2 linked regions of the Canis lupus familiaris genome follow. The protein of the gene in region 1 purifies or fractionates together with the protein of each later gene. This does not show direct contact. Links are inferred from orthologs where the notes say so. Each region holds a gene or a part of one and is shown in the gene's direction. Other genes may lie near its edges.

Region 1 (3,812 bases):
TTCCAGAAAAGATGCAATTAGCATTTATTGACATGCTATTATTATTTTTATTTTTTTATTTTTATTTTTTTTTTTCATTTATTTATGATAGTCACACAGAGAGAGAGAGAGAGGCAGAGACACAGGCAGAGGGAGAAGCAGGCTCCATGCACCGGGAGCCTGACGTGGGATTCGATCCCGGGTCTCCAGGATCACGCCCTGGGCCAAAGGCAGGCGTTAAACCGCTACACCACCCAGGGATCCCGACATGCTATTATTATTTACCAAGTAGTATGCTAGATACTTTAAGTAGTCATTTATTCCTTACAGTGCAAGTCTTGGAAGTAGTACTGTCTCCGTTTTACGTATTTAAAAAGTGAAGCGTAGAAAAGTTAAGGGACTTGACCACAGTGGCAGAATTAGAATTCTAACCAAGAATTTTCTAACTTCAAAACATATACTTTCTGCTTTTCCACGCTACCTTCCAATAACTATACCTGACATTGTGCATTTGTTCACAGATGTTCAGTAAGACTTGTGTGTCATGCACCGAGGATACAATCTCACATCTTTCAGATGTAAATCCTGCTCTCCTAGAGATAAGACACATATATGAGTAACTGTAATTCAGAGTAGACAGCTGTCTTGAGTAAAAGGCCCTGGTAAAGTGCCAGGGGACTTTAGAAGGAGGAGAGTTTATTTCAAACTGAAAAGTTCAGAGGCTAGACATGCTGGGAGGACTGCCCTCTGAGCTGGACTTTGACGCATCAGTGGGGCTTGCCTGTGTGAACCAAGAAATTTCTTTGAAGGAGAAAGAGCATGAGCAAATATAGAGATGGAAAGTACACTGTACATGATGGTGAGCTTCTTGAAGGAGCCCTGGAAAGTATACTTTAGAAAAACTCTTTGTATACTTATTTTCAGGAGACATATAATATGAAAATGTTTCTTTCTTTTTCTTTTTTTTTTTAAGCTTACAGTTGAGCATGAGTCTTCTTATGATCAGTGAGAACGTAAAATTGGCCCGTGAGTATGCACTACTGGGAAACTATGACTCTGCAATGGTATATTATCAGGGAGTTCTTGACCAGATGAACAAGTATCTGTATTCAGTCAAAGACACCTATCTCCAGCAGAAATGGCAACAGGTGAGAATTATGGCTGCTGTGTGTTTTAATGGTTTAAAGATTCAGAAGACTTAAAGAGATTGTTGGTACTTTTTGAAGTTACACATGAAGAGTATATGGTTTGTTACATGGATTTGTATATAATGTTACTTGAAATTTGATTTATTATATTAGTAATAGTTCATATTCACCATCATCAATATTGTGAGTTCTACTCAGTTACAGTTTTTGAAATCTAATAGATTAAAAAAAGTAATGGTTTTGACTTTTTTTTTAAGATTTTATTTATTCATGAGACAGAGAGACAGAGAGAGAAAGAGAGAGGTAGAGACACAGGCAGAGGGAGAAGCAGGCTCCATGCAGGGAGCCCGATGTGGGACTCGATCCCAGGACTCTGGGATCATGCCCTGAGCCGAAACCAGAGGCTTAACTGCTGCGCCACGCAGGCGTTCCTTGACGTTTTTTCTAATCCCATTTTTTACCTGGTATAATTAGGATTGACTTTATTAAGCCATTGTTGAAACTGCAGATGACACCTGAATCTCTCATGGCTATAATATATTCTCTGCAGAATATTCTAAAGAAGACTATATTTGAATTCCATTTGAGGAATGTTAGTCTCTGAGGACCAATAGGAATTTACAGATGGAAAGTGTAGAAGTTGTAAGTTCCTTTGAAGGTGGCATTTCTTTCTTTCTTTTTTTTTTTTAATAACTAAGCAGTTTATTTTTTTTAAGATTTTATTTTATTTATTCATAGAGACAGAGAGAGAGAGAGAGAGAGAGGCAGAGACACAGGCAGAGGGAGAAGCAGGCACCACACAGAGAGCCTGATGTGGGACTCAATCCCGGGTCTCCAGGATCACGCCCTGGGCTGCAGGCGGTGCTAAACCGCTGTGCCGCCGGGGCTGCCCTGAAGGTGGCATTTCTAACAAGGGTCAGCTACATCAAAGAGGAAGGAATTACTACAGGATTTAATAGTCTTTTTGAACGGGTCTTCTCAGTAGAATGTTATCCCTCAGATTCTTGTAAACTACTTTTTTGATAGTATTCCATTTTTGTACTTAATTTCTTTAAAATGGAGAAATATCCTACCTCTTTGAACTTAAAACTTTTTCCCTAAATCTGCTTCTGCATATCCCTTACATTACCATAAGAGGAAAATATTTTATTTCATAAAGAGTCTTAAGTTTGTCACTGAAAGACTTATGTTCATAGGCTGGAGATGTTTTTTTTTTTTTTCTAAGTAGACTTCACAGCCAGCATGGAGCCCAAGGTGGGGATTGAACTCACAACCCTGACATCAAGACCTGAGCTGAGATCAAGAGTTGGACACTTAACCAACTGAGCCACTCAGGTGCCCTTGTAGACTAGAGACTTTTATCTTAAAAGTCTAAGCTTTTTTTTTTTTTTTTTTAAGATTTTATTTATTTATTCATGAGAAACAGAGAGAGAGAGGCACAGACAAAGGCAGAAGAAGGCTCCATGCAAGAAGTCTGATGTGGAACTTGATCCCAGGTTTCCAGGATCACACCCTGGGCTGAAGGCGGCGCTAAACCGCTGAGCCACCTGAGCTGCCCTAGATTTTTTATTTGAGTAAGGGGCAGGGGAGAGAGGGACAGAGGGAGAGAGGATCTTAAGCAGACTCCCTGCTGAGCACAGAGTCTGTGCTCCCACAGAGTGGGGCTCTATCTCACAGCCCTGAGATCATGACCTGAGCCAAAATCAAAAGCCTGACGCTCAAGAACCTGACATTCAACTAAGCCACTTAGGTGCTCCTATTTATTTATTTTTAAGGAGAGAGAACACATATGAGCTGGGGGAGGGACTTTGGGAGAGGGGAAGCAAATTCCTTGCTGAGCACAGAGCCCAAAACAAGGCGCGATCCCACAGCCAATCCCACAATCATGTGATTGTGACCCGAGCCAAAATCAAAAGTAGGACACTTATAACCAACTGAGCCATCCAGGCGCCCTGGTTACAGATATTTAAAGAGCCATATTCTCCCTTTAAAACCAGGTTTGGCAGGAAATAAATGTGGAAGCTAAACATGTTAAAGATATCATGAAAACACTGGAGAGCTTTAAACTAGACAACACTCCACTGAAAGCTGCACAGCATGAGCTTCCAGCTTCTGAGGGGGAAGTCTGGTCCTTGCCTGTACCTGTTGAACGAAGGTAAGTGGAGACCTTTTAAGAAACAAATTAGCCCAGGAAACTAATAGCATTGGCTATATCTAGGGAAGCTGGGTAGCCAAGAGACAGGAACGGGAGAGGATTTTTTTTACTGAATGCCTTTTAGAACTCTTATGTTGTGTATCATGTAACTATGACCTGTATCGATAAATTAAACTTAGGAAATATGCCAAAAATGCTTTTGTGAATGAGCTTATAGTAACGGAGACAACATTATCTTATGGAAATAACTGGGAATTGAAATATCTGGCTCTCATTCTATCTTTGCCATGCTTCTGTAGCTTTGGAAAAAACCTATAACCTTTCTAGGCTTCAGATTTTTCTTAGGTAAAGTGAAGGAGTTACATCAAAACACTGGTTCTCAAACAGCTATCACAGAATACTGCTATTCATGAAAATTATTAAAATGAAAAATAATGTGGCTTTTTAATTCACAGGATAAAAAGGATAAAATGTTCTCTATTTTAGGTTTTTTTTGGCATTTTCCCCCAAGCTTTCTATTCTTGGAGCTG
Region 2 (4,542 bases), on another chromosome or scaffold:
CTTACTAAGCAAAATATTAAATCTAGCAACAGAAGAATATATTACTATCCCTTTCAGCTTATGTTAATAGATGGCCATAGTTAAGCAGTTCCCTGGTGTGTCACTTACATAAAAGATCATTTATCTGGGAATTTAAAGATCAAAATTCATATTACAATTTGATGTACCAAGATGAAAAATGATATACTTATCGAGAAAAGCACTGAAAAGCTGTCATTTTCATCTAAAAAATCACTGCATTTAATGAAATGAAGATCATTTAGTACTGAACAATATTAAGGATAAGAGGAAAGAGTGCCACCTGTTCTAGGTGCTTGGGAGACAAAACCTACTCTCATGGACCTTACCACTTACATGGTAGTAAGTATAACATATAAACTAATACGAGGAAAGGATAAGCAGGATAGGTAGTGCCATGGGGTTTCACTGTGAAGGTAACATGCGAGCGATCTAAAGGAGACGCCAGAGCAAGTCCTAAAGGTATCTGGGGGAAGAGTGTTCCAGGAAGAGGGAAAGAACATGTACAAGCAGTCCGAGAGAGATGGAAGCCTGCCCGCTATTTTCAAGGAGCAGCAAGGAGGCCATTCTGACTAGAGTGGAATGAAGAACAAACGGGAAAGTGGTAAGAGATGAAATCACTCAGAATGACAGTTAAAACAGGAAGCAGTGAAAAACAGCAAATTTTTCATCTGTCTCAACATAAAGCAAAAAGAATATCCTGACACACTGGCTGTGTGGTTGTAAGGGAACTAGAGTAACTCTTACGCGCTGGCACTAATAATTTTCAACCTAGTTATACGTTCAAACATCTTATTTTTCCAATTATTAAGCGCTTGTACTACTGTAAGTTAATCTCAAGCAGTTTATCTACCCATATTAGGGATAAGCCTCCTACAGTTGGCTATTCATATGCTGCCTGGGACGGGAGGGGGCCGTGCAGGGCAGAGCCGGGCTGAGCACGGCTGTGACAGCTGTACCTCTGTACCTTCTCCACCAGAATGCGGTCCGCCTCTTGCACGCTGGTATCCGGCACTTGCTTGTCCAAATAACCGACGGGGTACAGCGAGTCTCCCTGGCCACCGCCCCGGTCACTTCGGCTCCTAAGGAACCAAACCAAGAAACTAAGGCTGCAGCCTCCCACCCTTCACATTCCACGTTCCCGCTCCACTAACCATGGAATTTTCCAAAGACCCTAAAATACACCCGCCCAGATTAGAACACGCCGTCTCGTGGGTTCGTCAGACGTCTGCCTATCGAGTGAGTGAAATCAGGATCCTCGGAGGATTAGAAAGCTCCCCGGGGCCCGTCTTTGTGCCACCCGTCATTCTCGGAGGGTTGGACCTGGGGTCAGGTCCCGTTCCCGGGCGACCGTTCTGGTTGAAGGCTCGGGTTACCGAGCTCCGCCCCGGCTCCTCACCTGCTGCCTCCTCCAGGCCCGCTCAGCTCAATGGCCCACTTGAAACGCCGGCCTCGGTTGGCCACCAGGCTCCCCTGGGCCGTCATGGCACCCGCCTCCTACCGGAGCAGCGAACCTCGTCACTCCCCGGCGGGGTCCAGGCCCTGGCCCCGGCCCCGGCCCCGGACGCCGCTACGTCTGGGTCTCCCCGCGGCCCGCTTCCGGCGCTTAGCATAGACGTCACTTCCGGTCTGGAAGTGGGCGGGGCCTCCGCGGGGGCGGGGGGCCCCGCCGCGGAGGACGGCCGGCCGCGGCTCCCCAGGTCGCGCGGCCCTGGGGGTGTATCCCGGGAGCCCCGACGTGCACGCGAGCGAGCGAGCGGGAGGCGGGCTGCGGTGCGCCCTGCCCCTGCGCTAGGGGTGAAAGCCGAGCTCGCCTTCTCGAGTTCCTGCGCGCCCCGGAAACACGAGGCGCAGGCCTCGGCTTCACGCCCGGATCCGCGTGGGGTCCTCCGACCGGGAGCGGGTTCTTGACTGGCTTCCCGAGGCGAACGAGCGCCTGCCAGGTCCCGGGAGTTGGGTCTGTGTTATTCAAGTCACATCAATCCTGCTGATGAAGTTTTGGAATCGGGGTGGGGGGTGGGGTGGGGTGGGGTCCGGTCCGCAGCCCACGACCGAGGAGGAAGTCTGGAGACGTCTTTGGTGCAAAATGGTGCTTTCATTAAAGCCCGGGACGGGACCTGGGGGCAGGAAGGGCTGCAGCCCCCTTGGGTTCCCGGGGGTGGCTGACGCTACACCTGGGGGCTGGGGGCTTGAGGGCAAGGGAGGCTTTCAAACGAATGTCTGTAGGCTGACGCGGGCCTCGGGCCTCGGGCCACTGGCGGCCTTGCCGGCGGCCAGTTAAGGCGGTTCTTCCTCTAGTAAAGCGTTAACGTTCGGACGGTTGGGCGTCTCCTTCTGGACGTTAGGCTGCTGATACGCATGCGTTTTTCTTGTGAATCACAAAGACCCCGAGGGACACTTGTGCCGTAGAACTGTAGCCCCTCGGTTAGCTGCTCTTCCTTTCCCTTCGCGTCAGGGCCGGCAGGAGCGCCTCAGGAGGCCACATCCCCTGGGGCGGGCGGGCCTCGTCGGCGGCGTGTCCGCTGAGCTCCGTCCTCAGCCTTGTGTGCCCTCGTCGCGCAAGGCGAATCCTTCTGTGACCTTGCTGCCCCAGAGCTGGGAGCAGTGCGGACGTGGGCAGCTTATGGGCTTGACATTCAGATGGCCTCCCTCGGATCCTGGCTCTTTACTTACTTGTGTGACTCTGGACACGTTAGATATTTAGGGCTTCAGCCTCTTCGTAGGTAGGAGTTGGATAATCCACCTGCTTTAGGACGCCTGGGGGGCTCGGCGGTCGAACGCCTCCCTTCCGCTCGGGGCGTGACCCCGGGGTCCCGGGATGAGGCCCGCCCGCCCGCCCGCATCGTGCGCCCTGCAGGGAGCCTGCTTCTCCTCTTACTGCCTGTGTCTCTGCCTCTCTCGGTGTCTCCCATGAATAAATAAATCTTTTTTTAAAAAAAATTACCTACTTGCAAGGCTTATGAGGGTAAAAGGAGTGCCTGCCACGAATGCTTTTTTTTTTTTTTTTTTTTTGATTAAAAAAGTACTCTAAAGAAGCGCCTGGGTGGCACATTTGGTTAGGATCCGCCTTCAGCTCCCATCATGATCCCGGGGTCCTGGATTGGAGCCCTGCATCGGGCTCCCTGCTCAGTGGGGACACAGCTTATCCCTTCTCCCTCTACCTCTGCCCACTCCCCCACCCATGCTCTCTAGCTCTTACTCTCTTTCAAATAAAATCTTAAAAAAAAAAAAAAAGCACACTAGCTATTGGATTTTTGTATTGAGTTCTATACCTATATAATAATATAACCTGTTATGGATACTTGTTTCCCGTTTTTTTTTCCCCTTTTATAAACAAACAGTGTTTATTAACCCTATGTCTTTTCTTACTAAAATTCCTAAGAATGCAGTTGCTGGATCAAAGATTGCACGTTTTTTTTTTTTAAGATTTTATTCATTTCTTCACAAGAGCCACAGAGACAAAGAGGGGGCAGAGACACAGGCAGAGGGAGAAGCAGGCTCCATCCCAGGACTCCAGGATCACACCCTGGGCCGAAGGCAAGGTCTAAACCGCCGAGCCACCCAGGAATCCCCAAAGATTGCAAATTTTTAAGGAATTTTCATTTTAAATGTCTTCTAGCAGTATCCATTTGCACCCATTTGCATTCCACCAGCCTTATATTATTTTTAAATTGGTTTGAAAATGGTTCTGTATTTTCAGACTTTTATTCCTTTGACTCCAAGTTATCTGATATGGTCAGGGTTGGGGTGAGGGAAGAAGAGTGCTATGAGAGTCTGGTTGGGAGGTGAGGTTGAAAAGGGCCAATTAGAGAGTTTGGACCCTTGAAGATGATGGTGATCTAGGGACACAAGATTTCCATCCCCATTTTGTCTTCTCCTTTTAAAGATATTTTGTGTTCATGGCAGACTGTTTGAATAAGGTGGAAAAGGCTTTTCCCCTTCCAGTTCATTCTAAAATGTGTATTTATATGATCATAGGAAGACCAGACCTGTGGATTGCTTTCCTGCTTCTTTCTACTTTTCTGGCTTTATCTGTTATCTCTAATGAACCTTTGAGACTGATGTCAGACTGTACAAGGGTCTTGGCCCTATTGGGCAATCTTCTTTGTCCCAGAACAGTCTATGTAATAGCACTTACCAAATTGCACTTGTGTTTGTTGACGTCCCTTGAGCACGTATCTACCCTTCTTGCTGCACTATGCCCTAAATTCCTTTAAGTTAGGAACTACATGTCAATTATTTTGGATTCCACTGCCTAGAACATAATGTATTGAATAAATGTTTAGTGAATATGAGCAAGTTAATAGAAAGTAAATATACTATAATTACATTTATGTGAAAAAATGTAAAAACTCAAAGAGAATACATGTTAGGGTGTTATATATTCAATCAATGGTTTCCATGAAATTTTTTTTGATCAAACTATTGTCCTGCTTCTTAAATAAATTGTAAAGCGGGATCCCTGGGTGGCGCAGCAGTTTAGCGCCTGCCTTTGGCCCAGGGCACAATCCTGGAGACCCGGGA

The links.
Region 2: the proteins of KATNA1 (region 1) and KATNBL1 purify together in Homo sapiens (affinity purification with mass spectrometry; 3 studies listed by BioGRID and IntAct, counting the BioPlex papers as one, with this or other methods). This does not show direct contact. The link is inferred for Canis lupus familiaris from reciprocal best matches to the Homo sapiens genes KATNA1 and KATNBL1.

The regions. Positions count from the first base shown.
Region 1 is NC_049222.1:40,671,135-40,674,946, reverse strand, and holds part of KATNA1 (katanin p60 ATPase-containing subunit A1), read left to right. Parts: intron 1-952; 5' UTR 953-965; coding exon 966-1,127; intron 1,128-3,124; coding exon 3,125-3,282; intron 3,283-3,812. UniProt on the Homo sapiens protein: Catalytic subunit of a complex which severs microtubules in an ATP-dependent manner. Microtubule severing may promote rapid reorganization of cellular microtubule arrays and the release of microtubules from the centrosome following nucleation.
Region 2 is NC_049251.1:1,134,594-1,139,135, forward strand, and holds the start of KATNBL1 (KATNB1-like protein 1), read left to right. Parts: upstream 1-1,691; 5' UTR 1,692-1,975; intron 1,976-4,542. Other genes in the region: EMC4 (ER membrane protein complex subunit 4), read right to left, coding at 986-1,100, 1,418-1,503.